Linked DNA regions of Kluyveromyces lactis. The protein of the gene in region 1 purifies or fractionates together with the protein of each later gene. This does not show direct contact. Links are inferred from orthologs where the notes say so. Each region holds a gene or a part of one and is shown on either strand. Other genes may lie near its edges. The genes, in order: SIT4, ACC1, CCT2, CCT6 and MRPL3.

The links.
Region 2: the proteins of SIT4 (region 1) and ACC1 purify together in Saccharomyces cerevisiae (affinity purification with mass spectrometry; 4 studies listed by BioGRID). This does not show direct contact. The link is inferred for Kluyveromyces lactis from reciprocal best matches to the Saccharomyces cerevisiae genes SIT4 and ACC1.
Region 3: the proteins of SIT4 (region 1) and CCT2 purify together in Saccharomyces cerevisiae (affinity purification with mass spectrometry, with the first as the bait; 4 studies listed by BioGRID). This does not show direct contact. The link is inferred for Kluyveromyces lactis from reciprocal best matches to the Saccharomyces cerevisiae genes SIT4 and CCT2.
Region 4: the proteins of SIT4 (region 1) and CCT6 purify together in Saccharomyces cerevisiae (affinity purification with mass spectrometry, with the first as the bait; 3 studies listed by BioGRID). This does not show direct contact. The link is inferred for Kluyveromyces lactis from reciprocal best matches to the Saccharomyces cerevisiae genes SIT4 and CCT6.
Region 5: the proteins of SIT4 (region 1) and MRPL3 purify together in Saccharomyces cerevisiae (affinity purification with mass spectrometry; 3 studies listed by BioGRID). This does not show direct contact. The link is inferred for Kluyveromyces lactis from reciprocal best matches to the Saccharomyces cerevisiae genes SIT4 and MRPL3.

The regions. Positions count from the first base shown.
Region 1 is NC_006040.1:312,573-317,997, reverse strand, and holds SIT4 (type 2A-related serine/threonine-protein phosphatase SIT4), read left to right. Parts: upstream 1-2,825; coding exon 2,826-3,755; downstream 3,756-5,425. Other genes in the region: YNK1 (nucleoside diphosphate kinase), read right to left, coding at 1-144; THP1 (Thp1p), read left to right, coding at 791-2,152; KLLA0_D03630g (SCO family protein), read left to right, coding at 4,399-5,337. UniProt on the Saccharomyces cerevisiae protein: Involved in the dephosphorylation of the large subunit of RNA polymerase II. Is required in late G1 for normal G1 cyclin expression, bud initiation and expression of certain genes that are periodically expressed during late G1.
Region 2 is NC_006042.1:580,810-587,721, reverse strand, and holds the start of ACC1 (acetyl-CoA carboxylase ACC1), read right to left. Parts: upstream 4,447-6,912; coding exon 1-4,446. Other genes in the region: KLLA0_F06061g (uncharacterized protein), read right to left, coding at 6,752-6,912. UniProt on the Saccharomyces cerevisiae protein: Carries out three functions: biotin carboxyl carrier protein, biotin carboxylase and carboxyltransferase. Involved in the synthesis of very-long-chain fatty acid synthesis which is required to maintain a functional nuclear envelope.
Region 3 is NC_006039.1:983,673-989,804, forward strand, and holds CCT2 (chaperonin-containing T-complex subunit CCT2), read right to left. Parts: upstream 3,328-6,132; coding exon 1,738-3,327; downstream 1-1,737. Other genes in the region: END3 (End3p), read left to right, coding at 445-1,587; RIM8 (Rim8p), read right to left, coding at 3,874-5,592. UniProt on the Saccharomyces cerevisiae protein: Molecular chaperone; assists the folding of proteins upon ATP hydrolysis. Known to play a role, in vitro, in the folding of actin and tubulin. In yeast may play a role in mitotic spindle formation.
Region 4 is NC_006040.1:1,553,773-1,559,995, reverse strand, and holds CCT6 (chaperonin-containing T-complex subunit CCT6), read right to left. Parts: upstream 3,259-6,223; coding exon 1,624-3,258; downstream 1-1,623. Other genes in the region: SLY1 (syntaxin-binding protein), read right to left, coding at 1-1,261; methionine aminopeptidase MAP1, read right to left, coding at 3,914-5,041; CDD1 (cytidine deaminase), read right to left, coding at 5,568-6,011. UniProt on the Saccharomyces cerevisiae protein: Molecular chaperone; assists the folding of proteins upon ATP hydrolysis. Known to play a role, in vitro, in the folding of actin and tubulin. In yeast may play a role in mitotic spindle formation.
Region 5 is NC_006041.1:685,009-690,522, forward strand, and holds MRPL3 (mitochondrial 54S ribosomal protein mL44), read right to left. Parts: upstream 3,382-5,514; coding exon 2,434-3,381; downstream 1-2,433. Other genes in the region: fructose-bisphosphate aldolase FBA1, read left to right, coding at 1-175; PEX12 (ubiquitin-protein ligase peroxin 12), read left to right, coding at 556-1,551; KLLA0_E07613g (uncharacterized protein), read right to left, coding at 1,602-2,210; MSS1 (Mss1p), read left to right, coding at 3,726-5,231; KLLA0_E07679g (uncharacterized protein), read right to left, coding at 5,193-5,507. UniProt on the Saccharomyces cerevisiae protein: Component of the mitochondrial ribosome (mitoribosome), a dedicated translation machinery responsible for the synthesis of mitochondrial genome-encoded proteins, including at least some of the essential transmembrane subunits of the mitochondrial respiratory chain.

The DNA.
Region 1 (5,425 bases):
CAACAAAGCTTCGGTTGGAGTAACCAACTTAATACCAACCAATTTGTAACCTCTGTCTTCAAAACGAGCTAAGATCTTAGAGATCAAACCTCTTTGAACACCATCTGGCTTGATAGCAATGAAAGTTCTTTCAGTGTTAGACATTTTTCTCGAGTTAGTTAATACGTGATTCTGTGTACGATCCTGCTATGAACTAAGAATCAATGGAACATAAGCAATCGCTAACCCCAGAAGTTGAAATAAAGTGCATGGAAAGAAGAAAGTTACTGCAAATTGAAATCAACGAAATTGAAATATTTCTCGAGAGAGCCAACGAATGAGGATCCGATTCATGCTCGATGAGATTGGTGCAGACGAAGAAATGCCGGGGAAAATCGAAAATGAGAGAAAATTTTTCCGGCACGTGACTTTGATTAGTTGATGTTTGGGGCTTCTTACTGAGGAAGCTGTAAAAGTATGGTTCATCATACACAATAGCAGAAAGGTGTCCATATCGTTAGCAAGCGCATTCGGAGGTTGGGATTAGGCGAAACACTGTATGTAAACCCCAAAGAGTGTTTATGGATATATGTCGAGGCAAGTCTTCAAGTGACTTTATCGATCACGTGACAAGAAAAATCAACAAACGGAAATCATGGTCTCTTGAAACATTGTACCTGGCTCATCTAATATTAAGGTTAGAATCAGACAAATCAGAAAAACTTCTGGTTGACATTTGACTCAGATCACCTTTATAGGACAAACTTTGAATTGAAAAGCGCCAGTGGATTTTCCTTTGTGGTTTTTGGTTATGGACCATTTCTTTGGGGCTCTAAAGGCAGGTGATTTTAGTGTATTGGATATAAACATCGAAAGAAATGGACAATTAATTCTTGAATTGCAACAGTTTTTGAGATCCAATGACAGCATTGACCTTGAGACCCTGATAAATTCACATTCTCTTTATGAGAACAGATGGACCAGGTTTAATAATTTGGTAAGTTCATTTCTTGGGTACTGTAAAGAACTGAATCCATATTCATTATGGGAATCGTCCTTCTCTGTGTTCCAATATTACCAGGATTTGAATACATGTCTCACAAACGAGACAACAATGTACCCTATTGATTCTTTGGTACCACTGTTTACAGCTACAACAGAATTGGTCATTCCAATGGCTATTAGATTGGATGCTAACCATAAGATCATTGGTACAAGACAGCATCAGTTTCTGACCCATATTGCTTCCATCATTTCCAAATTGTTCAATAGCATTAAAGCCAGGGTCGATGATGATAAGGTCGAATTTGATCATTTGTCAGGGAAACAGAAGGTCTTGCTTTATATTTCAAACAAATTGAACATGATTTATTTCAAGATTAACTCCCCATCTTCGTGCGCTAACATCTTCAAGAATTTGAAACCAAAGTCTAATATCTATTCGTTCAACCAATACCCGTTGACAGAGAGAATCCAGTATAGGTATTACTTGGGGAGATATTACCTATTAAACCATAGAATGGTTAATGCTTTCCATCAGTTGAACCAATGTTACGAACTCCTAGCCACATTACCCGACTCTATTGCGAAACAGAACAACAGGAGAAGATTGTTGAAGTTTTTAGTTCCATGTGGTATCATTATCAGCAAGTTGCCAGATTTCAACAAGTTATCTCAATGGGACCCTATCCTAGCACAGAAATACACAGCTCTTGTGATTGCCGTTAAAAACGGAAACTTGAACAGAGTAAACTTCTGGCTTTACGAGAACGAATCGTGGCTGAAATCATCTAAATTGTTGATTGTTCTATTGGAAAAGCTACCCATTATAACGTTCAGATCCCTTTTGCGATCTATTTTCCTATACTACTGTATACCGCGCAATTCAAATAAACTACCATACTCTGTGATAAGACCAATTCTAGCAAAATCCATCGGTTTATATCCACCTGAAATGCCATCGATATATAAAGACAATTACACCGCAGAATCACTTGAAAATATCCTTGTCACACTTTCAATTCAACAATTGTGGAAGGGAAATGTGTTTCCAAGCCTGCAAGTGTGCGTTACGATGAAGACTAACGATATCTCAGTAATCTTCCCTAATATCAATGAAAAGATCGTCTCTAGATTTTCGTTGAACCAGGAAGATTCCTGGCTCGATAAGTAAATGATAGATAATATACATATAGTATGTAAAAATAGATGACACAGCCCCTCCTAACCTGATTCGGGTCCCACTATCATACCCAGTCGTGAAACACTTTTGGAAGACTCAATTTTTACAGACATGTCTATATAGATATAAGAATGCTCTCACATATATCTGTTTGTCTTCCAGGTCACATTCTGCAAAAAAAAGTAAGAAATTGAAGAGAAGTTGAAATTTTGTTGAAGTTTCCATTATTTTTGTAAAAGGACTGATGATTACAACAGAAAACAAAGAGAGAAGGAAACATCCTTATAGCTAACTACTTTGTTAACAAGCTTTTAGCCATCAACAAAGAGTAGTGATATAGGGCTGTTCTTTGTTTGAGCTATTGAATTTTCCTATAGTGAGTGAGTGTTTCTTGTTGAAAAGAAAAGGTGCAAGAAATACTTCCAAACACAGGTTTTAAGCTTGTTGTGGTTTTTATTTACAAGAACGCTAATCATAATCACTTTACAAGAAATTCAGAAGGAATTTATCCCAATTTTTTCACAGGTAAGGACTGGGTTTTATTATAATTATTATTTTTTTTATTGACCTTTGAACTTTATCTTCCCTTGTAAAGGTTAATTTGCCATTGCATAAGTTCATCTATCTATAGAGCGTTTTGTCTCCGGAGTGCTAAAATATCACAATGTCAGATAATGGGCCAGATTTGTGGCTTGAGAAGATCAAGAAATGTCAGGCTTTGACGGAGTCTGAGATGAAACAGCTATGCGAGATGATGAAGGAACTCTTAATGGAAGAATCGAATATTCAGCCGGTTCAATCGCCGGTGACTGTTTGTGGTGATATTCACGGACAATTTCATGACCTTTTAGAACTATTCAGAACTGCTGGTGGGTTTCCTGATCAAGTAAACTATATTTTTCTTGGTGACTATGTAGATCGTGGTTATTACAGTTTGGAGACGTTCACACTTCTTATGTGTTTGAAAGTGAAATATCCTTCCAGAATTACTTTGGTTAGAGGAAATCATGAGTCGAGGCAAATTACACAAGTTTATGGGTTTTATGAGGAATGTTTAAATAAGTATGGTTCCACAACGGTTTGGAAGTATTGTTGTCAAGTGTTTGATTTCTTAACTTTGGCAGCTATTATTGACGGGAAAATTTTATGTGTGCATGGTGGTTTGTCTCCCGAGATTAGAATGCTTGATCAGATCAGAGTTCTATCGAGAGCCCAAGAAGTTCCTCATGAAGGTGGCTTCTCCGATTTGTTATGGAGTGACCCCGACAACGTGGAAGCATGGCAAGTCTCACCTCGTGGTGCCGGATGGTTGTTCGGTAGCAAAGTCTCACGAGAATTTAATCATGTGAATGGCCTAAGCCTAATCGCAAGAGCTCACCAGCTAGTTATGGAAGGATTCAAATACCATTTTCCGGAGAAGGATGTTGTAACGGTATGGTCTGCACCTAATTATTGTTATCGATGTGGTAATGTGGCGAGTGTCATGAAAGTCGAAGATGATTTAGATCCAACATTCAAAATTTTTTCCGCTGTACCTGACGATTACATCCAAGAAACAAACAATAATAACCAAAGAGGTGGATATTTCTTATAGAGCGACATTGCAGCGGCCTTTTTGTCTGTATAATCTTCTATGCGAACTTACATCGGACTAAACATTCTTTTTCTCCTTCTATTTGAGAATTCCTTCTTAATATACTGTACACTAGAAATCAAACATTTACCTAACTTTTACGAATTCAAAGATATCCATCAGGAATTAGGATTTAATTGGAAAGTGGACTATAAACAACGTAATTTTTAATGGGTTGAAATCATTACTGAGAAACCAACCCCCCTGAAACTTAAATAGTCTAAAACCCGGTAATATATATAGATATATGTATTAATGATAACGTTTAAACTGCCATTATGTCTTTCACGAGGCTTCACAGAGTCCTGATCTAATCCAAACTAGATCATCGAATATATTCAATTTGATATGGAATCATATATAGAATATCGTGTGTAGAATAGGTTTTTTTTTTTCTTACCAGTATCTCTTCAGCTCCAAAGCTGCATTGAAATATTTAAAATTTCAAGAGCATTTTATACAAAAAATGTAGCCATATGATTGCACTTATAACTTTCATAAATGATGTGATACCAACAAAACGCAGCATTTTGGTTACTCACATCGGGAATAAACGGTTTAACAATAACAAGGATTGCTAATACAGTATCAACTATAAATTGTAATGTTACGCAGCATTGTTCGCGTCCCTAGTATTACTTTTGCTTCTAAAGAAGCAATGAGACCAGTGCTAAGGAAAACTACCTTGGCCCATTTTATGAATCATTACAGATCGTTATCCGTATCTGCAACCAAGTTACAAGAGATTAAGAAATATGACCCTGCCCCTGCAGTAGGTAGTCCAAAACCTAAGAAGAAGCCATTAAGTAGGATACCCATTGGCGGTGCTGAAACTCATACCCAAAAAGTTGATACAGGTTCTACCATCGAATTTACTACCTGGAAAGCAGCAGCTTTGTTCATTCTTATCGGAGGCGGGGTGTACTATTTCTTTAAAAATGAGAAGCAAAGATTAGAGACCGAGAAGGAGGCGGAAGCTAACAGAGGTTACGGTAGGCCATTGGTCGGAGGTCCCTTTAGTTTGATTGATTTTAATGGGAATCCATTTACAGAGAAAGACTTGCTAGGCAAGTTCTCTATCATCTATTTTGGTTTCAGTCATTGTCCAGATATTTGTCCAGATGAGTTAGATAAGTTAGGAGCATGGTTAACTGAGTTAAAGAAGCGTGACATCAATTTGCAACCTGTTTTCATTACTTGTGACCCGGCTAGAGATCCACCAGAAGTCTTGAAAGAATACCTAAGCGAGTTCCACCCTGACATTATCGGTTTAACTGGTGACTATGATGCCGTGAAGAATGCTTGCAAAAAATACAGAGTCTATTTCTCTACTCCACCAAACGTCAAACCTGGCCAGGATTATTTAGTTGATCATTCCATTTTCTTCTACTTGATGGACCCAGAAGGTCAATTCATTGATGCCCTAGGTAGAAACTATGACGAACAGACTGGTGTTGAAAAAATCGTCGAACATGTATCTGCTTATGTTCCAAAGGAAGAACGTGAAAAGAGAAAGGACAAATGGTATTCCTTCTTGTTTTAAACACATTTATCTTGCTTTCTTGTAAATAAATAAAGCGTGTTTCGCAACTTCATGTAAGCTCAGTATTTAACATTAACACATCAAATAT
Region 2 (6,912 bases), on another chromosome or scaffold:
GGCAATAGGTCTCAAATGCATAGCACCTGGTTTATCTAAAGATTTGAAAATCCATTCACCTTGTGCATTCTTGATCTCTGTATACAATTCAGTCTTCACAACAAAGCCCGAGACGTTGTTGATCAACGCTCTGATTGGAACCGGGGTGCCAGTTTGAGGGTCCTTGATAATAATTCTGATTTCAGCAGCGGCAACACGTAATCTGAGCAATCTTCTGCCAAATCTTTCCAAGAAACCGCCAAAGGCAGCTTCAACAGCTTCTGGCGAAATGTCAAATACAGCAGAGAAGTTAATGAAAATATGGTTAAGATCTGAGTTAGAAGTGTCAATGATCTCTAAGTTGTCCAAAATGTCACTCATTAATCTGTTAGCTTCTGAAGTCAAATATTCATGGATGGAAATGTCGTCACTAATACGACCTGTTCTGATAATACCTCTGGTAAAGAATCTCTTGTCAACCGGAGAGTTTTTACCAACGGCCTCATAGACATGAATGTTTCTGTTCTCAGTAAATATTTGTCTGATATTGAAGTTCGACATCTTACCTAGTTCAAGTTGGAAAGCTAGAGCTGGTTCAATGTGACGAATTGTTTCATCTTCATTGTAATTTGGACCACGGAAGGTATAGTACTTTGGATATGTACCATCACTGTATCCAAACACGAAGGTAATACGACGAATAGCAGAGTCAACTAATGATTGCTTGTTTAAATCGAGTATCTCTCTGAGTCTCTTTAAAACATCCGACTCAGATTCAAATCCTTCAGTTGAAGACACAACAACATTGGCAACATTAGACAAGCTGGCTGAAGAGCCAGATCTGTCTGGGACAGGGCCAGTAGACATATGATGAGAAGGAATTAAAGATAGAGCTGACGACAAAATACCATCAACATCATCTAGATGTCTAGCAGGAATCAACAAACCAGTTCTTAATGGTTGGTTTTCACCGTCAGAGACATAAGTCAAATCAGAGACAGAAATAGCTCTGTTCATACCCAATTTACTCTTAACCTGTGGCAATGAGGTGAATGCAGCAGATGGAAGTTGGAACTTCCACTCAACTACAGGTGATCCAGAAGACTTTTGATGCTTCAAATCACCAATAGTGTACGCTCTGTATGCTCTTCTAATGTAGACCTCGGCAGCAGCAGCAGAAACGGCATCATCTGGATTTGTCAAGAATTGGGCCAACACATCGAAAACAACATAGTTGGAATCGATCAAGTCCTTTAAAACTTCTAAATCAGGTTTTGTGCGCTTCGTTTCGGATGAACCATATGAAGTGCTTAAAACAGATGACTTAAGAATGTATTGAACTTGATCTGTTCTCTCCTTGATAGATGGCAAAGCACCTTGAATCAAAATTTCTCTGGCTTGTAGAGCAACCTTAGCGGTGGCCTTAGATTCTAATTCGACGATGTGTTTCAATGGTTGTTCGATAGCAGCGGCTACCTCAGAGCTCAATTTGCATAGCGGTTGATAATGCTTCAAAATGGCAAGGATCAGGTTGTTTCTGGCTGATACTCTGGAGTGAGCTAGGACGGTTAAAACAACCTTCTCCAAGTCGTCAGGGTTCTCATCACGCAATTTTAAGATGACGTCTTCTTCCCGAATGTTTGGCCCAGAGAACAATTTTTCGACATTGTAATAGTTTTCTAAGAAAGTGGCAAAGACAAAATGTTCATGAGCAGCAAGTCCCTTAGAGTAACGGGTAGTAATATCAACAAGTGGTTCAATGGTAGTGCTAAACAATGGGTCAACGTTAGGATCATTTAAGGCAGCTTCTAACATCTTTTCTAGTTGTCTTGCTGGGAAATCCGCATTTCTCTTGAATGAACGGGTGACCAATTGTTCTTGCATTTCGTCTAACTTAGGTGGTAATCTTGAATGTAAAGCAGAAACTTGTAATTTCCATTCAGAGTATGGTAATTCTGGTTGTCTCAACACTTCAATTAATTGCTGCAATGAAGCATTCATAATAACTTGATTGTCGTATCCCTTCAAGATGTTTTCCAAAGTAGTGACCAAAGATTTAAATTTGTATGCAGGCTTGGTACCTTCAACGATTGGAGCACCCAATTCTGGTAGCATGCCTTCGTAAGGCTTAGCATGTTTGACTTTACTAGGGTCATCTAGAGTTAAGATGGCTAGAATGTCACCGGCGGCCAGAGTAGAGCCTGGTTGTTTCAATAACTGAACGACACCATTTTCTTGAGAAATCAATGGCATTTGCATCTTCATAACTTCAACTTCGGCATATGGTTGGCCAGCAATAACATGATCACCGTTTTCGACCAAAAACTTGACCAATTTACCAGGAGATGGAGTTCTGAGTTGTGTTGGATCATTTTCAACCTCTAGTAGAGTTGTCTTAGAGTCGATTGATAATCTGGTAGCAGCAACTTCTTCCTTCCAGTAAATGGTGTGTGATTTACCACCAACGGCAATCAACAAACCACCATCAGATAACTTCCTTACGCCAACTTCGCACTTGGAACCGTTAATGAATAGAGTATAACGATCGTCGGCTGATTTAGCAACAGTAAATCTATATCTCATACCATCATGAATAAATTCAATTGGGTACATTGTTTGTAGTAATGATTTGTTTGGAACTTGGCCTCTCTTCAAAGATGAGATGTAATCTTCTCTGGCTTTTTGGGAGGCAATATGAGCCTTGGTAGCGGCACCACAAATGACAGATAGGGTTCTATCAGGCTTTTCAGCTGTCATTTTCTGAGAAATCAAATCATCCAACCACCCAGTCGTGATGGTATTGTCTTCGAAGTCTTCGGTTTCCAATAATTTGATTAAATATTCAACCGTAGTTCTGAAATCACCTCTGATAGATAATTCCTTCAAAGCAACAACCATATGTTTCCTTGAAGCTTGTCTGTTTTCACCGAAGGCGAAGATATGACCGAATTGAGAGTCAGAGAATGAATGGATACCACCATTATTACCAACAGAGAAATAACCCCAAACGTTGGAAGAAGAACGGAAGTTCAATTCGTGTAAAGCACCGCCAGATGGTTTGAAACCCTCATTTGGATCTTCGGATGTGATACGGCAGGCAGTACAGTGACCTTTAGGAGTTGGTTTTCTTTGAGTTTTAGCAGACTCAGGTGTAGAGAAGTTAAAGTCAATTTCGGATGCAGATTTTGGATCGACACCGTATAACAATCTAATATCTCTGATTCTGTGCATTGGAATACCCATAGCGATTTGTAACTGGGCAGACGGCAAGTTAACACCAGTAACCATTTCTGTGGTTGGATGTTCAACTTGTAATCTTGGGTTCAACTCCAAGAAGTAGAACTTGTCTTCATCATGAGAATATAAATATTCGACGGTACCAGCAGAAACGTAACCAACCAATTGACCTAATCTGACGGCTGCTTTTTCCATTTCAGTGAAGGTATCTGGCTTAGCGATAGTTACAGGAGCTTCTTCGATAATCTTTTGATGACGTCTTTGAACAGAACAATCACGACCAAATAGAGAGATGTTGGTACCATATTGATCAGCCAAAAGTTGAACTTCCAAATGACGAGCCTTACCAGCCAACTTCATAATAAAAATTGGAGAACCAGGAATTTCATTAGCAGCTTGTTGGTACAAAGACAGGAACTCATCTTCATTTTCGACTTTTCTGATACCTTTACCACCACCACCTTCGGAAGCCTTGACCATAATTGGGAAACCAATTTCCTTGGCTTTCTTTAGACCGTCTTCTGGAGACGAACAACAACCTTCTTGGTATACTTTATCTTCGACAGAGACCAAGTTAGTTTCTTTATCAACATGAACTTCATCGACACCAGTACCAGACCATGGGATACAAGGAACCTTAGCGTGTTGGGCAACGATAGTGGACGAGATCTTATCACCGAGAGATCTCATGGCATTTCCTGGTGGACCAATAAATATAATCTTTCTGTGAGAAGCGGCTAGCCTTTCAGGGAGTAGTGGGTTTTCTGAAGCATGACCCCAACCTGCCCAAACTGCATCTACATCAGCTCTTTCGGCAACTTCAACAATTAGGTCAACGTTTGCATAATTGTTATTGTTGGTACCACCGGGAACTTCGATATATTGATCAGCCATACGAATGTATTCTGCGTTGGCTTCAAGATCTTCTGGAGTGGCCATGGCCACGAATTGAACAGTTCTTTCATCGCCGAAGGTTTCATAGGCCCATTTACGAACCGATCTGATTTCTTTAACGGCTGCGATACCATTGTTAGCGATCAAAACCTTTGAGATCACAGTATGACCACCATGTGATTTGACAAACTCTTTCAATGGAGAATCATCTGCCTTATCCACAGTGTTCAGACCAATGAAATGAGAAGCCAACTTGGAATGTCTATCGCTATATTCAGTAATTTCGTATTGTTTACTTTGAGAGATTGAAACCTCAGAAAGATTTTCCTCACTCATTTTGCTTCTTAATATATTGCGTGTAGAATGGAATAGTCTTGGTGAAAATATGCTAAAATGAACTGTAAATTTGTTGGCGAGCGGAATGAACCGAGAATGTCTAGCTAAAACCGGGAACAGTCTGTAAAGAGTTAAGTTAGTCAATTTGATCAATGTTACAATAATGATAATAATAGAAAGTTTCTGAAAAAAAGAAACTAGCAAACGTACTATTCGGTTTATGCTTACTCTTTTTAACAAAACTTTCTTTAACCTCTATGAAGTTTTAGTTTTTGACAGCAGACAGACAATGAAGGGGAACAGTGATGTAATATCGAATGTGGGCTGAAAATAAAACTGTAACTCGGCAAAAATCGTTCACATATGCCTATATATTGCTGTGGAACGCTGCAGTTATGAGATTATCGGCAATATTATTATTGTGCGATGAACAATGTAGTACTAAACGAAGGCTTGAAAGATGTGAACAATGTGGGGATTTTCTAGCCACACTATCAGTTTCGCTTTCTAAGGAATACCAACGTTAGTTGTTCTCGTTGCTAAACAATATACCTATTCTTCACAGATGACAGGTTTCACACATACACTAGACGAAATGGAGTTGATGCTTCTGTCGTTTACCAGTCGCCATCCTCAATTGTGCATAAAAACATTGGATTTTCAATTTTCAACTTTCGTTCAACCAAAAAATAAAGTTCAAAAACGAACAAGTAGAACCCATTGAAAAACCTTAGCGCAATAATCGTGTACAAAAGGAAACGGTTTCAAAATTTCAAAATATGCAGTATCGTATTTTTTCCCCAACAATCTTCATTTTCTCAAAAACTGATATTAAGATAAAATCTTCTGAGAAACAATTGGTTGAAAAGTAATAATAGAGGAGTAAGGCGGTTCCAGTAATTCTTTGTTTCCAATGTCAATCTCAACTTGTCAAAAAATAAACTCCAAAGAGGTTTTCATTATTAGTAATAGTTTAGTTTAGTTTATACATACATCTTTTCACGGACAAAAAAGTCTCTTTAAACTTTATAACCTCAAAATTAAAATCGTGAAGGGTAAAAAAATAGTATTACTAGGCAAATGCGTTCAATACAATTGACGCAATATCCAGATATTAATTGTCAGAGGGCTGATGACCTTTTAGTAATAGTTGTACTCAAAAAGGGACAGATTTAATTGTGTGAAACTCCTATTGTCAATATTAACAGGAAATCAGAATGAATATGATAGGATGAACAAATAAATATTCTCAATACAAGTTGTTGTTGTTGTTTGTTGTGTATATTGAGTAATTCAGTTTCAAACTAAAATTATTCCTTGGATATCTTTAAAATATCTTATCTCTTCTAGTTAGCCCTTTCTCTTGATGAGTTTCCACAGAGTACTGATCAATTGAAAGTGAGTCAAGAGGTTTCAGAAAGACAGAAAATACAATGTATAAAAACCTAAGAAGATTTAGAGAATTGATATAATTTAAATTCACGAAGTTTATTTAAACCCCTTTGCTTGAAAAAAATAGCAGGAAAACCTCTTCTTTATAAAAAGCCGCCGAGTGCATTTCACTTCATCTAGACAAAATTTCAACTAAACTAACAAAACAAACAAAAAGATGAGAAGAGAAAAAAAAAAAAAACTTGGTTCTATCCATTCTACATCCCAGTCTAGGCATTTCATCCAAACGATGTGGTGATTTCACCATACTTGAAATTTCATAGCACTATTTTTTTTTTGGGAAAGAAAAAGTTTGAAAACTTGTTGGGATCGTTGTTGGATTTTTGTTTTTCTGTAGAACATTTCATAAAGATCCCATAAGTTCATACTATCCGTGGTCGTTCAAGATGATTCATGTACCAACAATTTGGTACACGTCACGTTGACAGCAACGGTATGCAACAGAATTTAGGATAAGAAGTGTGTTATATCTGGGCAGATAATAGCAATTAACCGCAATGCGCTTGGTTTTAGACTGAAAGAACGTTTGGCGTTTTAAGGGAACAAATCTTTGAATGAAGGAAATGGAGTAGTTGTATTCGGTTGATATACAGCGGTTATTTATGTGAAAGCTGCAACGATTGGATTTTAGAATAGATTAGCGATAGATGAGGGTTTGAGATCACGTGACTTGCGGTTTCTTGTGGTTTGCGACTACAAGACGTCAGAAAAAAAAAAGCGGAAATAGTATAAACTGACTGACATGAGAGAAAGATAGTTAAGTTATAGACAAATTGTTACAACGGTATAGAAAAAAGCGTTAAGCATACAAGGGGTGAGCAGCTGTTGGAATGAAAATTTAGATTGATAGAAATCATTTCGCATTTTGTATTCCAGCTTCCTTAATTTTCTTCAATAGGAACTCGTCGTAACCGACTCTCATTTGGTTCACCTTCTTCAACTCGCAGTGGTGCAACTTCGTATCCTCTTTCTTAGTATTGTATAGATCAAATCCAAGCGTCACTGAGACTTCGG
Region 3 (6,132 bases), on another chromosome or scaffold:
AGTAGCATCCACCAAAAAGATATAAAAAAAACAGATACAAATTCTTGTCACGTGAGGGGTTGTTTGACTATTATTCAAGGTCACGTGTGTTACGTATAACGTGACTTCCCCTTTTTGTAATGTAGGTCAATGGAATTTTGATTTTCTTTCAGCACTGAAATGGGTGATATTACTGTTAAGATCAATACGATGAACTATCCAAAAGGTTTAAATTGCAATTTATTGAAGTAGATAAGGTTCCAAACGATTCAAACCGAAGAACACGCTAGAGCGATAGCAGGTATAACATATTCTTGTTTTATTTGTTCCTGTCTCTTTGACTGATTGTGAGTAACGCAGGCATACTTCAAAGAAAACATTACGTTTGAGCTCAGTGTTAATTTGATATCTGACCTCTATTTTAATCGCGCTTGACTCCACAGATAATTCAAATACCAATTTAAGATGCCAAAGCTTGAACAATTTGAGATCAAAAAGTATTGGCAAATTTTCTCCGGATTGAAACCGGTGGAAAATAAGTTGACCCATGATCAAGTACTGCCTATCCTTTTCAATTCTAAATTGGACACCTCGATACTTAACAAAATATGGTTTTTGGCCGATATCGATGATGATGATCAACTAGATTTTGAAGAGTTTGTGATTTGTATGAGAATGATATTTGACATGGTTAATAAAAACATAGATTCTGTACCAGATGAATTGCCAGATTGGTTGATTCCCGGTTCAAAAGCCGAATTAGTCAAACAAAGAAAAACTGAACGTAGTAGCGGAACAGCAGAAACAAGTTCTGTGGTCAATGTTCCGACATCTTCGCCAGCTGTAGACGATTATCAAAAAGAAGTTGATTGGTATATATCAAGAGATGATAAGTCACAATACGAATCAATTTATGAATCAGCCATAACCTCTAGAGACAATAGTGTATCTTATGTTTCACTATCCTCCGCCGTTAGATCGAAGTATATCAATCTATCATCTCAAGATTTAGAAAAAACGTGGCGTTTGGTTAATCCTAAGCTTGACACTTCCATAGATAAGGATCCAGCACTATACTTTATTCATATTCTGAGACAAGTGAACGACTATGCTTGCCCAATACCATCACATTTACCTTCAGCATTGAAAGAAACTTTTACAAAGACTAGAGTTTCCACGGATTTGTCTTCCAAGCAGAGCGAAGTAAGAAGGCCAACACTATCCACATCTAACTCTTCATCTTACCAAATACCAAAACGTGGTGGTACTGATTTTTCTGTTACTCAGGGAACTGATTGGGAAGTAGTCAGACTTCAAAGGGAATTGGCAAATATTGACTCTGAATTATCGTCAGCACAGCAACAATCCACCTCTCATAATGACTCAAATGATAGAATGAAATTAGTAAAACAACAGTTAGAACAGTTCTTGGAATACCAAAAAAACCTTGTCAATAATTCCAATACTTCTTCAGAAAGCGTTGATGTTGGAGGTTTGAGGGATGATATAGAGAGTATTGAGCAGCAAGTACAAATGTTGGAGGAGTACCTGAAAACAAAGAAGTCGGAACTGCATAATTTGAAGATAGAGGTGCAATCTCTTTACTGAGGTTATTGACCTACCCTATATACTTTCTGGAGTAAATTTTGAACTACGTTGTTTCATGTATAATGATAATTCACTTCTTAGCTTAACTTTTTGGATATTAGAACGAAATTTAAACGTTTGTGGTGATTGCTTAGTACTAATTTAATTAATTTACATATGACCGTGCTGTCTATCGGCTGTTCTTGGTTTAGCCCTGATAATATTATCCACTCTCAAGAGGACTTCGGCTGCTTCGCTGGCTGAGGTTACTACAGCTCTTTTCAATTTATAACTTTCCACGATCCCTAGTTCTCTCATGTCAGCAATGGTGCCGTTATCCAAATCCAAACCTGATGTACTCATGCCGTTGTAAATCGAAGATCTTAACTTTGTGATCAATTCACTACTATCGAAACCAGCGTTGTCCGCAAGAATAGTAGGCAATTGTCTTAGGGCTTTTGCAAAAGATTCTACAGCAAGTGCTTTCTTACCTTCAACATTTTGCCCTACTGTGTCAACAGCTTTTGACATAATCATTTCGGCACAACCACCACCCAAAACAGTTCTGGTTTCTTTTGTTGTTTGTGAAAGGACAGATAAAGCATCATGTAGAGATCTTTCAGCTTCGTCTAATACTTGTTCGGTTGCACCTCTTAGTACAATAGTACAAGCTTCACCAGATTTACAACCACTGAACTTTGTGAAAGTTTCTTCACCGATTATGATTTCCTCGATGAGCTTACATTCACCAAGTTTACATTTTTCTGGATTGTCAAATGTCGAAACAACTTCACCACCAGTCACAAGTGCTAGTCGTTCCACACCTTCAAAATCAGCATGTTCAATGGAGTTAATTCCTAGATCTGTAAACATTTGTTCAGGGTAGTCGTATATCAACTGTCTGTTGATGAACGTGTTGATGTTGAAATTAGCAATCTTTTCAATCTTCTTTTTCATTTTTTCACGTTCAGCTTTCTCTAATTCTGCAAGCTTAGACGTAGAATCAACCTTGAACTTGGTACCAAAGATCTTGACCTTGTCAGTATCTAGAGAAGTGTTGGCAATCAAAATTTTAGCATTTTCCACGCGCTTTGGCTGGTTGCTACCAAATCTTTTTGGTAAGATAAATCCTTCATCTAAGAAAGAATCAGAAAGCTTACCACCAATGATCTTGATAATTTGAATATGTTCCAAATTGGTGGAACCCTTCAATCTGAGAATGGCATCTGTTGCCAATTTTGAGAAATGATCTTTATCTTGAGACAAAATTTTAGATGAAAGTGTCGTGTTTGCAATGCTGATCAAATCGTTGTAGAACTCTTCCTTATTATTCGAGTTATCCACAGCGGCCTTCTCCAATGCTGATAGAGCAGCCGCAGATGCAATTCTGAAACCTTCAATAATGGTTTGTGGGTGGATTTTTCCTTGTTCGACCAATTTCTCAGCCTCTCTCAATAGCTCAGCACTTAAAACTGTAACACTGGTAGTACCGTCACCAACTTCATCATCTTGGACTTTACTAATGTTCACAAGAACTTTAGCGGCGGGATTGTCCAATGGAATCGATTTAAGAATAGTAGCACCATCATTTGTTACCATGCTAGTGTTGTTAGATGCACTTTGAAGTAGCTTGTCCATACCTTTTGGTCCTAGAGTAGTTTTCACCAAATCACCTACAGCGATGGCACCGACAAAAGCACTCATACGAGCATTTTCAGCCCTTTCTTCGGTAACTTGATCCCCAAAAATCGGAACGCTCATTCTTACTTGATGTTTGGCGGACTGTTGCTAACTTTGTTGGAAGTAGAGGATGATCAAAAAGAATTGGCCACCGTGATATTTTATCTGGTATTCTGCAAACATACTTATTCCATCTTCATACAATTTAGTAGTTTTTTTTTTTCTGACGAAAAATCAACTACAGGCATATAACGTCACGTGAAAGGGAAATACCTGAAAACATCATAATTAACATTGCTTCTATCATCATTTCAGTCCGCAAATTTGGGGTAGACGATCTCATTGATAGCAACTCTCGGTAATTGCTGGGTCGAAAAATGACACCTGTAATGGCGTTTTATATACCAAACAAATAATTATTAATTGTGCATTGTTTAAACGGTATTACTAAATTCAACTTGGAAAGTCATTTTGAGTTCTTTAAATATTAAATGATCATTGATGCCAGAATATGTGTTCTCATTACTCGTTTCAGGCAAAGGGATCTCTTGTCGACGTATATTGATTAGGGTATGCATTATATCTTATATATAGTTTTATGAGATAACTTATTCATAACTGTTTTTATTATATGGGCGGTTCGCTTTCCAATTCTTTCAACCGCATTTGCTCTAGTTCTTGTTTATCATCTGTAACACCTGACATTGAACACCCAGTGAAGTCATCTAATCCACGACTATACAGTGGAACAGGGTCAGCCGGATAGCACAAAGTCATATCCGTATCCGTGAAGATACGAGAGGAAGGTGATGGCCCGTTATGTCTATGTAACAAATAGTCGTAAGCTTCGTCTATTGGAGATTCAGCGCTAGAGCATTGGTTGTAAACTGCATCCACATCATCAGGTAATTGGTTGATAGAATGGGAATCCAGACGGTCCACTGTGGGCGATTCAGGCTCATGTTCTTCTCTGTGTGTTCCGATCACAACTTCGATTGACATACCTGTAACGTTTCTTAGACGTTTGAGTCTGTCTACATTAATCAAATCTTGGAAAAACGTTACTGAATCATCTTCGCCAGCAGTAACCTCACCCTGGTTTGAGAGGTCTTGGAACATCGAAAACTTGTTCGACGGCATCGGTATACTACTAGTTCTCTGTCCACCCACAAGTCTATTGGACTCTGTGTATACCAAATTCTTCCTTGACAAATTTGCTAGGATCTCCACGTAATACTGGAAAGTGAAGAACTTATTCTTTAAATCCAAACTCGGGAAGGTGTCTAATGGAACCTTTAGTTTCAACATTATAACAGCTTCATGCGTTTCGGGGTCTGTATATAATGGGGCAACACCTTGACAGATATCTTTTCTAAATGTTTCGATCTGTTCTGTATTTCTAGGGTTTGAAACCCGAGAGATTCTGACCAACGTTGCAATCAACCCCGCAGGGTGGAAGTATTGTTTGTAATGAGTGACGTGGACTTTAACCGGAATTTCTTCTCCGATGGTGTATCCTAGACAGGGAATCTCTACCGAGATCTTGACAGTCTTGTTATCAGCGAGCATGGAAGCGTTGGAATTACCTGAATTATTTGAGCTTGATGAACCATTAGTGATAGTAGAGGATCCGCCTGTTTTCCTAGTCAGAGACGAAGCCCCGTCTTGTGGGTCTGCAGAACCTGCTGCCATAAGTCTTCTAACATGGATTCCATTATTGCTTGAGTTGGGTGATTGTAAGACCACCGTCTTGATATTTGGCTTTGGTAATTGGCCGACGTCTATTGGCACAATCAACTGGTAATGCTGCTTGCAAAAGATAGGAGGCGTCTTTTGGGCATGAAGCTCTGCTTGAACCCAATATCTTATGGAACCCTTCTTAAAATCTATCGAGCTCACCAAGTTCTTACCATTAATTTTACAAGAGAATGGAAACTTGTGTTCACCGCCAGTCAAGTGTAATGGATTCTCCTCACTACCATAAATACTCGTGGACCTGCAAAACACTGTATCAGAGTATTTCGATTTTAGAGAACCTGCGGTCATCGGGTTATTGGAATGGAGTTGAAACTCTCCTATATGAGCAAGTTTAATCCAAACATTAGGCACATCTTTTCTCAATCGAAGCTTCACAGTCCCACTGATAGTCTCGTTCGGTTTCCACACTCTGTGCACATCATCAAGTACAATTTCAAACTCCAAAATGTACGATTTCATACCGGAGTGCTTGAAAATGGAGCTCTTGCCAGCATTGCTCACTGAATCGAAGCTACTCACCACAAATGCACTAGGAGAACCTCGCTCAGCTCGTTCGTTCGACCGCAGAAGTTTATCAAATAATCCCATGGTCTAATTCGACTTTAAGCTCTTATATGGAGGCCAAAAATAAACGAAAGGAACACGAAAGAAAAATACAAGCCGGCACACAACCTAAGCACAATTATGTCTTCAAAAATCTAAAGCTCTCCCTTATCTTGTTTCACCCTTTGGACTCTATGTTCGTTTGGTTTATATATCCGTGATAGTAAATACTCGAAGATCCATGCTGTTATATAATGGCGCAGTGCAAGTTTTAGACTATTCTCTACTTTTTTTTTCTAAGCAAGAAAGCCATTAAAGAATGGAAATTTATTCAAAAATTAAGTTGAAGAATGAAAAAAAAATTGGTAATAGCTGAGTAACAAACCATAGCACACCCTCGAAACAGAAAAGAAAAAAAATGTTTAAAGCCCGACTGGACACGAAAGCATGGCAATTTAACTGTAGAATCAGGTGGATTATACTGTTTGCCAATATTTATCATTCAGTAAATTATTATCTTGATTTTGATCAAAGTCGGAAATAAGTAGTCATTGGGCATGTACATACATATGTTTTATCTTCAAG
Region 4 (6,223 bases), about 1.2 Mb from region 1:
TCTTTCCATCTTTAAGAGCAGCAAGGAAATCTTGTCTGGTTTTAGAAGAATCGGAAGATTGTTCCAACTCAAAGAAAGAATCTAAGCCTTTGCTTTCAAGCTGTTTCAAAAGCCCTGCGAGAACTGTCATGTGTGTATCAATGGTAGATTTTCTAGCTGTGAGAAGTGGTAATTTTTTCACAGCTTCTTGAATTTGTATAGTGTCACTTTGTCCTGTTGGATCAAGATCTGTCAAATTGCTTACACCAGTCTTCTTGGTAATTTCTTCTGCATCTTTTTTGTAATTCGAAAGTTCAGTTTCCACGTTCTCGACAGCATCAGGGAATGGTAGATGAGAATTGGCAATCCAGAAAAAATCTTTTGGGTCTATATCCATTTTTTTAATAACCTCTTCGTTTTGCTCGTTGGTGGTAGGCATGGTTATAGTGTTTCTTGATAATTTGAAAACATCAAATACCAAACATTGATAAATCCAGGAATGTGCAAACATAGAAGCAATGTCAATATTTCTATCCACTATAACAAGAACAAACCGCTCAAATGAAGTTGATCCACTAGCTGAAGATCTGGTACCATTGACATAATCACGCAGTTTGGTTTCAAGTTTTTGAGCCACCATTTCAGCAGCACCACCCCTTTGTGCTCTAATAATAGGTATAGTTCCAATTGTGACGATAGCATTGAAGATCCCAGTAGCAATTGAATCGCATAGATTAGTGATAACGTCCTCAGAACTCTGAGGATTATTAATAAGTCCATAAGTGCCGGGCATCTCCAATGAAAACATTTCCGGTTCTGTTACAACGAAATCCAAATATTGATCGTACACTTGTTTTATTCTGTCAGACTTGCCAGTAGCAGAAGCCTTGCTTGCAAAGGTTTCTAAAAGATCTCTTTTCAATGTAGTTGTGAAATTGATGTATGTTTCTGAATACTTATCTTCTTTCAAGTCCTGGACAATCGCATCGATGTTCGCTTCTGTTGGTTCCACGAAATACACTGCTGGAACATCAGGTAAAGGGGATCTCTGTTGTGTGATAAGGGCGTGAACTGTAACATTGGATTTTAACAAGTCATTGACTCTCATAACAGATGATATTATAGCGGTGCTCCTAGCATCCATGATCAGTACTTTCCAAACGATCTCTTGTTCATCAAGATTGCTTGTTGCTGCTTCCGTTCCTTTATCTGAATTGAACAGTAGCATCTTTTCAATAGACAGAATCTGTCTGTCTCTTAAGGACAATTCTGAATTCAGCATATTACTCTGGTATATATGTGATCCCGATGAGGTATGCTGTTCAATGGTTTGCAGTCAATGACTTCACTCTCGTCCGTACTTTCTGTACTTTTGGTGTGTCTGTTTATTATAAAGGTGCTTCCAGTTTTGATGTTTAATCATTTTTTGAAGTATATTAGTATTTCGTTTTCGGTGATGGAAACGGTATTTGGCCAACACGTAGATTTGGATCTATAGCACTCGTGAAGAGATCGCATATTACATATACATCGGCCAAACTTGAGTCTTGTACTTCGTATTTATTTCCATTTAGTATACATAATTCTATTTGATTTTGGAACCTACGTTAAAGACAGTGATATTTTTTAATTGTACCAGCTTCATTATTGTGGTGGACCTTCCTTCAATGTAGATCTACCGGCTCTGAGTAGTTCGTCGCATAGCAACAAGTTAGAGGCTATACCTGCGGCACCAGTTACTGCATTTCTGAGGACACGATAAGAGTCCCAAACACCTTCTATAGTTGGATCACAAGAGTCGCCAATATTTAGATCAACACCCACTATTCTTGTCTCATCTTCTTCCAACTCGTCTTGGCATTGGGCAAGTACATCAAGGGCATCATATCCGGAATTCTTTATTAATGTCTTAGGAATAGACAAAAGTGCGTCTGAAAAGGCTTGTACACCTGTTTTTGCTTTACCTTTGGCGCCTAGCTTGTTCATATTCGCCCTTTTCAAGTGCTGGGAAGCAGAAATGAAGAATGCCCCAGCGCCAGGAACGACAGCACTGTCTTTGATGACATTTGCAACAGCTCTTAAACCATCTCTTACTGCATCTTTGGTTTGGGTCAAAGCGTGGTGAGTAGAACCTTTAATCAAAATGGTACAAGACTTAGGATCTCTGTTTTCGGTGACGTAAGTAAATTTCTCCTCGCCGATAGTTTCCTGGTAAACCAATCCGGAATAACCTAAAATTTTAGGCGAAAGATCATCAACGGAATTTTGAGCTTCACCCCCAGTGACGAGTTGTAGTCTTTCCATATTACGTCTCTTGGCTCTTCTTAGAGCAAGAATGTTGTGTTTAGCAAGAACATCTAATGACATTGGGTCGATACCTTTTTGGTTTATGATAACAAAACCCTCTTTAGAATCCATACCACATACTTCATTCTTCAAGTCGATGATTTTTTTTAATTTCTCATCAACAAATTTTCTTTCACTAGCAGCCAACTTGTCTCGTTGGTCAGCAGAGCTGTAAAAGAAACCAGAGTTGACTTCCGTCTTCTCATATTCCAAAGAAACATTTAGAATCAAAACATGTGCATTTTCGACTCTGGTTGGCATATCAGGATGTCTTCCTCCATGATCCAAAATTAATCCTTTAACAAAAGTGGTATCCTGTGGAGATAGATGTTGCATTTGCATTATTTCAATCATGTGTAAATCTAGATTTCTGTTGTTAGGATCTTGAACAGCCAAAACAGCATCAGTGACGATTGGTGTTAAAACTTCAGTGAGTTCTGGGTTGACTTTAGTACATAAGGAACTTCTGGCAACCTGCAATAAAAATTCACGATCCAAATCCTCCTCAGCGCTCTTTTCGATTTTGAAGGTATCCAAAAAACTTAAGGTTTCCTTTCTTGCAATCTCAAACCCGTCAGTAATTGTTCTTGGATGGACACCTTCTTGAATATATCTATAAGCTTGTTTCATCAGTTCTCCCACCAAGCAGACAACGGTTGTAGTACCGTCCCCAGTAATTTCATCTTGGGCAGTGGCTGCACGAGCAATCATGACAGCAGTCGGAGACTGTATTTGCATTTCAGTCAATAGGACTTTACCATCTTTGGTCAACTTGATATTACCGGCACCATCGACCAACATTTTCAAAGTACCCTTAGGTCCTAGGTTAGTTTCCAAAACGGATTGAAGACCCTCCGCTGAAGTGACGTTGACTTTTAAAGCAGCATCTCTTCTTAGGGACTCGGCCTTTGGATTTAACAACTGAACTGACATAATTATCTTGCTTTCTCTCTATTATGCACTGCACGTAATTGGTATTGTCAAATTATGACTTTTGATCTGGATAATAAGATGCAAGCAATTGACTGCAATGAATATCACAACTAAATATTAGAGAGTATAGATTGATTTCGGTTCTATTAGAATCAACGTTGTGGACGAAAATGCAACAGTATCTTTCACTCTTTTGAATGTTATTCTTCTTCAACACCGAACGTTAGCCATAATTAAAAGCTTTACTTTCTCCATCAGAAAACTTAGATCACTGTTTTCGATTAATTTTTTTTCTTTGGAAGTGGCGAAAGCTAATGGTTACCCGGTTATTGAAGCAAAGCAACAATCCATGCTGTCGTGATCCTCATATTTATGCAAAGATGATGAAGATTATACTTTAGTAGGACCGCACATCTTCAGTATAATAAATACTAATAGTGGTTTTCAATGAGAATTCTCTAAATATTTTGGTCTTCTGTAAATTGATTTATATGATGATATGTATTGAATCTATTCACATGAAAGACTATGCCGAAATGATGTCCGTTATGACGACGATGATGGCTGTTTTATGGATTGTTTCCTATACGAAACGAGGTAAACAGTAACTTTCTCTATTGATATTCATTTTTTAACTATTGTCATTTCACTGGGTCTATTTTATCCTATTTCTTGGGCCGCCTGGAGACTTCTTGTTCCTTGCCGTCAAGACTTCAACACCATTCTCGGTGACCAAAAGGGTTTGCTCAAACTGAGCACTAACTTTACCATCCTTTGTTGAAGAAGTCCAATCGTCAGGCCAGGTGATATCTTGCCATACACCTTCGTTAATCATAGGTTCTATAGTGAAGACCATTCCAGGTTTCATGACACCGGGCGTTCTGTTGTTAGCATAATGTGGAATGCTGGGGGCACAGTGGAAAAACTCACCGACACCATGACCACAGTAAGTCCTAACAACAGAGCATTTGTTGGATTTGGAGTGCTTTTCAATGCAGTCTCCCAAGGATTGAAAAGTTACGCCTGGTTTACACATCTTGATGGCGAGTTTCAAACATTCACGGGCAGTTTCAACGGTATTTATGACATCCTTGGCGATAGTCTCACCAACGTAGTAAGTTTCGTTTAAATCTGCATGCATGCCTTGGTAATACAATGAGACATCTAAATTGACAATATCTCCCTCTTTTAGAACATATTTGTCAGGAACACCATGACAGATAATCTCGTTCACAGAAGTACAGACGGATTTAGGGAAATTATAGTAGTTGAGAGGAGATGGGTATGCTCCCCTCTTGATAGTCTCGTTATGCACTATCTCATCAATTTCATCCGTAGTGATACCTGGTCTAACTGCGGCGGCCGCAACATCTAGCACTTCTCTACCTAGAGCACAAGCTTTTCTGATCCTCTTAATTTGCTCCTTATTGTAGACAGGAATCTTGTTTGTTCTATCATTTCTTTGTTCGATGATGGGTAGCCCATTTTCTGCCCAATCTGGTTTCTCGATCTCATCTGGGACCTGTCTTTTTGGCGACAGAGGGTATTGAGCTTTCAGCTTGCCAGTATACTTGAATTTTGGAAACGGATCATACACCTCACCAGAACCATCTGTACCATAATGTAAAGCCTTATGCTGTTTGTACCCGTCTTTGAAACAAGATTCTCCACAAAAGACCTCTTCAATACCTTGCTTCAAGCAAATCGGGCATTTTAACATCGAATCTGTAACTTTACCACATTGTAGACTAGAACAACGGACATTAGCGATTTTTTCCTGCATTTTTTCCTCTTAGTGTCTTCCAAGATTTACAGCTGCTATGTCAGTAAGTGCAGTTCAGAAACACCTTCTATATCACTTGGAATACGTTTGGTATAAATAAGTGAGAGAGAGGAGTAGAAAGAGCTGTATCTGAGCTTCTCTCATCGCATCTCGTTCTCATGTTCTTTATTAAAGGTCGAAACAAAAAATTTTATTTGAAAAGTCAGATGAGTTTAAATGTCATACTTTTCTTTTAATTCTACAGTGCGAAGACTCCGCATTATCTATGACACATTTCTAAATATCTTAGGAACAACCTCGGTTTAGGGCGATTGAGAGAATAGTGCTTAGAAAATTTTGATTAACTGGCGGTTACTTCTGATCCTAAGTAGCTAGCTTATGAGAAGGTGTTTTCCAAAGGCATGTTTTCTTAACTTTCTCTCAAAACGCTAATGAATAATTACTATATAGAACTTTCTTGATTTTTGATTTCGTTTCTTACTATGGAAAAGTTCAAATCTTGCACAAAAAAGAGTCGAATCTTAGCTCACCTATGAAAGTGATCTGGGCCGAAGCTTTCTGGCAATAGTTCATTGAGGGTCATAATTTTTTTGACAGAGGTGTCGCAGTTTGTCATTATTATTGGCAGATCTTCTTTTCCAAACTCTCTGATCGTTTGCCGACAGATTCCACATGGCGGAATGTAATTATCTCTCATATCGCTGTTGATAGCGACACAAACCCAATCTGCTCTGTGGGAGCTTGTGACAGCTTTCACGATAGCAGCTCTTTCTGCACATATGGTGGCTCCATACGTAGCATTCTCCACATTGCTTCCTGTGATATAAGTACCATCTTTTGTCAGTATGCAACATCCGACCCTAAATTTTGAATATGGACTATAGGAACCACTTTTTGCTTTTTGACTCTCTAAAATGGCTCTATCTACCTGTGTAGGTTCAATACCGTCCAGTTTGCTCTTGATCTCCATTTTATACTGCAATGATGCGTATTCAGTAGCGAACTGGGTCCAGCGTGTATTATACGCTCGCCTCTTGGTTTCTTTATACAACGATGGCTGATATCTTCTTGTGTGAGAAATACATCGTTATCATATCGAGATTTTATATAATGAAATATGTCACTATCTGCTTGATTTCGTCTTGGCTGCTTTTACTTACAAAAAATTACCGTTGATCGCAA
Region 5 (5,514 bases), on another chromosome or scaffold:
CGTCTTGAACAAGAAGGACTACTTGATGACCCCAGTCGGTAACCCAACCGGTGAAGACTCTCCAAACAAGAAGTACTACGACCCAAGAGTCTGGGTTAGAGAAGGTGAAAAGACCATGAGCAAGAGAATCACTCAAGCTTTGGAAATCTTCCGTACTAAGGGTGCTTTGGAATAAAGTTCTTTTGTTTAGTACCATTATCCCAAACAATTTAACTTATAATTTTCTATATACAATTTAAATACCAGAACGCATGAAATGATCAAATGAAGACATCTGAACCATTAGTTACAAAATGATTGGCAGGGATCCGCTGTGCATCGGATACGTTCACCAGTGTTATCCTTGGACGCTACCGAGGACTTACCTGTTATCGAACTGCATTTGTCTTTTTCTCTCACGTGATCGACTTTGTCTCATAGTCCAGTTTGGCTTAAATATGAAAGCAGAGTTAAAAAACATAGGAACAGTTACAATCAAACAAAGTCACGTTCATAGTCCCTTAACACAATTACAACTCCAGAAACAAATACAAGAAACAGGGAGGACTCAAAGCGATGGATTTTTACTCCAATCTCCCGGTGAATTTACAACAACCGACTTTATTCGAAATACTCTCTGTCAATGAAGTGAAGAAGTTAATCAAACCAACTTTAAGGTATATTTTCTCCATTTATCTCCAATATAGAGGACCAACACGATGGCTGTTGAAGATTTTTAATAAATTTGACTTCATAATCTTGGTGATTAAATCTTTGGTTGAATACAGACATTATAAAACAACAGGTGCCACAATTCTTGACAAGTTCTATGGATTGAAAAGGTTTTCTAGATTCCCTAAATTAACCTTTCTAGGAATTTGGTTGAATGACTGTTTATTCGAATACGTTAGTGATATCTGTGAACAATACCATGAGCTCTTGCAGTCCAGAAAATTGACGAGCCCAGAATTGAGCTCATGGCAACAATGGTTTGATGCCTATTATCCTAAGCTACAGAAGACTATCAAAGTGATAAATTTCTGTTTCAAATTAAAGTACTTGCGTCATTCAAAAGACACTGATATGATCCATTTCATAACACAAATAAGATACCAACGATACCAAGAACCCGAAGAAGGAATTGCAAGTAGGAAAAATACTTTAACTCTTTCTGAACGTCGTCGTAAAAGAACTAATTTACCCAGAATATTAGCTATGACCAAGGATGCAGTGGAGAGCACATCGACCATGTTCTTGGACAAGTTATTCCCGAGCTTCCTAGTGATGATCAGAATTTTACAAATTATCAATCAGCGGCCTGAATTATTCAAGAAAGAGATACGAGTAAAGAGACCAAAACCTCCAGTACTACCTGGCGTAGCATCAGAGGTGGATAACAATGATACGACTGACGTATGTCCCCTATGCGGCGAAGAAATAACAGAACCTGCCATGATTTCATCTGGATATGTCGCTAATTTAGAGTGTGCCAAGAAATGGGTAAGCACAGAAAATACATGTTTCGCGACTGGTGTGCCCATAGATAAACGCATCCGTAAGTTATTAATATAGTTTTGCATTAATTTAGTAAATGAATAATGAGAATAATTGAGCCAGTAGCATTAGAATAATTCTGCATTGGTTTCCATTTGATTGAACATCGTTTGCATCATCATTATATCAGATTCCAGCCTAGAGATTTCTGAATCTAAGTCTGGAGCCGATGTTCTACTGTATCTTAGCTTTAATAACCAAATTTCTTTCAAGATTTCATCGCTTGGTCTATCATTATCTTCAAGATATTGAATCATCCTATCCAAATGATCTTTTAAATCACGTTTTAATAGTTTTAAATCGGAATGATCATCCTGAATTTCTACTCCACAGTTGATTAGCTTATAAGGATATCGTACACTCTCATGCCATTGTATCAAATTGCTAGTTTCAGGGAAGTAATGGAACTTGGATTTAATAATGTATTGTTTCGAATTCAACGACTGTAACATGTCATCGTAATCGTAAATGTCCGGGTCAACCATTAGGATTCCAATTGGATCAGAGGATTTCCAGCTGAAAAGGCTGAGCTTCGTATCAACGTTTCCAACTCCATCACACAGAAAACACTGTGATGCTATTTCATTTTCCAATACAAGGATAAATAGTAACGGACCTCCTTTACTTTCAATGATCGTCGAATTAACTTGCAGCAGAACTTCCTCCTTCAAATCCATATCTTGATCAAATAATGCAGAACAGGATCTAGCTATAAATAAGGCAAGGCCTCAAGACACAACTAAGTTTCGTACAACCTCCTTTTTTATTTCGTTCGAGTACAACAGTGTATGAATTACTATTATGTATTTGTATATTATATTTACAGGGAAAGAAATCTTTAAAAGTTGATCTCAACTGAAAAGGATTATGTGGAAAACATACATTGCTGATGCGGCCTGTCTATACTAACACTTCGCCTTGGTCAATAACGACATTCTGTTGGCCATGCACTGGTTCGTAACAGTACCATTTCAACAAAGCGTCTGTAGCGGCTCTGGCTTTAGCTTCTTTCAAAGATGAACCGTAACCCTCGCCTAATTTCTCTTCACCACTGAAAACGCCAACGATGAACAAGGGTGATTTAGACAATCTACCGTTTTCTGCAAGTAGTTTCGATACCGGTCTTTCCAATCCTTGGCGACGGCACAAAGCTGCCAGTTCTCTGGTTGGTTGTTCGAACGCGAACAAATCTTTAACGTCCAGCTTTCTGGACAAAATATGATCTGCGATAAACTTATGTGTCTGGTTGAAATCTTTGTCGACACTGTATACAGCGGCGAATATACTCCTTACGGCAACTGCCATAGCATTGTTCTCAGTGAAGTTATGCAATTCATCTACGGAATTTTGGAAATAACGTAGTTTACCCAATGTAATGGTAACATTTTCTTTCTTTGCATATCTATCCACTACACTTTGAGTTTCCGGTTCTATACCCCAGGAACGACCGACATTGCTCAAAACATGGTCGTTAATATATGCATCCACAGCAGCATTCAAAACCACACCCGGTAGCCTAGGATATTTTTTCATTAGCTCGGATGTAACTGCCAAAGTTAAAAGACTCTTACCAAAAATGTTCAAACTGACATTGTCATAGTTCACTTCCCCACTAGAACGACACGTCAAACATCTGGACAAAAGAGAATAGGATAAGCCTTGAGGCAATCTTAATCTGGAATGGAGTGCAACTAAATTGGGGCTTGTTAGTTCATGTGCAGGGTTCTTTAACAGTGTACTGATGGTATTCTTATATTCTTTCAATGATGACAGTTCTGATTGGTACAACCTGGCACAAGAAGCAAATCCTCGCACTCGCACAGGGTTCAATAGCTTCAAAACAGACATCCTTCTTTAACCCCCCTCGATGGTGATGTTGATTGCTGTATATATCAATGGCAAACCTCACCAATAGCTCACTGCATCACTCAACTTCTTTCCATCCTCTCTCTGTAACTCTTTCACTAAAATTTTTTTTCAATATTTCGATACTGAGATCTGCAATTACCCGGATATAGTAGACTGTTGATGTTTTCCGAGTAGTCACGTGATAATAATATGTTTTCACAGACATCTCATTATTCCAGATTCTTTCTGATACGGCGCACTTATGCTATGGATTGTCGATGAATCGGTAGCTAAACATATTTACAGACTATTCTAAACTACCATAAATTGCAGTTGGAATCGTAATGGTAGTCTACAAGGATCCCACTCTCATTTGGTTCAATTTTTCGCAAAAAGTGATGTTCAGCCCAATGTTGCGACGGTTTTATAGTGTTCCAGCGACATTTTTCCATCCTACAGTGTATGCATTATCAACGCCATCAAATCAGCACTCTGCAATAGCTATAATTAGGATATCGGGTACACATTCAAAGTATATCTTAAAAAAATTGTCGCCAAAAAAACCGCTACGGCAGAGGAAACCGATGATTCGGTCATTATATGATCCCAAGGCATCAACTCTGATAGATGAAGCGTTAGTCTTGTACTTCCCACAACCACGGACCTTTACAGGTGAAGATTTAGTGGAATTGCATCTACATGGGGGGAAAGCTATTATAAAGGCAGCGTTAAACTCAATCCAGGGTTTGCGGGACTCTGAAAGAGATATTCGTATGGCGATGCCGGGAGAATTCAGTCGACGAGCTTTCCAGAATGGGAAAATGGATTTGTTGAAGCTTGAAAGTATCAACAATATGATTCATTCAGATACAGAATTACAGCGATTGTCTGCATTGCATGGCAATCAGACCGTAGACATTTTCCATGAATGGCGACAAGAGATTATAGAGCAGATCGCTAAACTAACTGCAATTATTGATTTTGGTGAAGATATCGAAACGGAAGATATCGATTCTATAGTGAATGGTGCCAATGATAAACTTTTACAACTATACAAAAAAGTGACTCGATTCATGGTGAAATTAGATAGAATGGCTGTCTTGAACGATGGGATAAAGTTAACATTGTTGGGTGAACCAAATTCCGGGAAGTCATCATTAGTTAACGAAATATCTCAAGACGACGTTGCGATTGTCAGTGATATACCGGGCACCACAAGAGACTCTATCGATGTAATGATGGACATTAACGGTTTTAAATGTATCTTGACTGACACGGCAGGGATCAGACAGGGAACTTCAGATTCTATTGAGATCAAAGGTATTGACAGATCCAAAAAGAAAAGTTTACAAAGTGACTTAGTGGTATTGGTCATTGATGTATCTAACCCAAATATAAGTAAACATTTTGAAGAATTTATCAAGGATAACTTATCTGATAAACCTTTAATTGTCGTGTTGAATAAATCGGATTTAGCTACTGAAACCCAGTTAAAATACTTAATTGAAAAGTTCGATGCAGAATTTAAAGCCCTGAAAATTCATACAGTCTCTTGCTTAACCAAAATTGGATTGGAACCATTAGTTAAGACCTTGACATTAAGTTTCAGAAGAATCTCGGCAACTGAGAATGAAGATCCAGTCACCGTGTCCAATAGAGTCAAAGAAATTTTAAGCACTGATATTCTATTCGGCCTAGATCAGTTCTTCCAGCACAAGAATGACGATATATTAATAGCTTGCGAATCACTTAGAATAGCTTCCGATGGAATTGGGAAGATAACTGGTGATAACGTTGACTTGGAAGAGGTTTTAGACGTTGTCTTTTCGAAGTTTTGTATCGGCAAGTAATTGTAAATAGTTTTCCCATTCATCTGCCAATTCTTCCAATTCTTGCACTTGCTTTTCTAGTTTATTCAATCTGCCAGAAAGCCGTTGTTTCTCATCGACCCAATCACTAATGCCGTCATCTTTCTTGATTTTACTCTGTAAATATTCTAGTTTACCATAATTTTGTTCAGTCTCTTGCTCAAAACTCGACACTCCAGTTGCAGTTACGAAATCAATTCTTTGCTGAATCCCATCCACCAATTCTTCGAGTTTGGATTTCAAAGCCTTTCCCCTCATTTTAAAG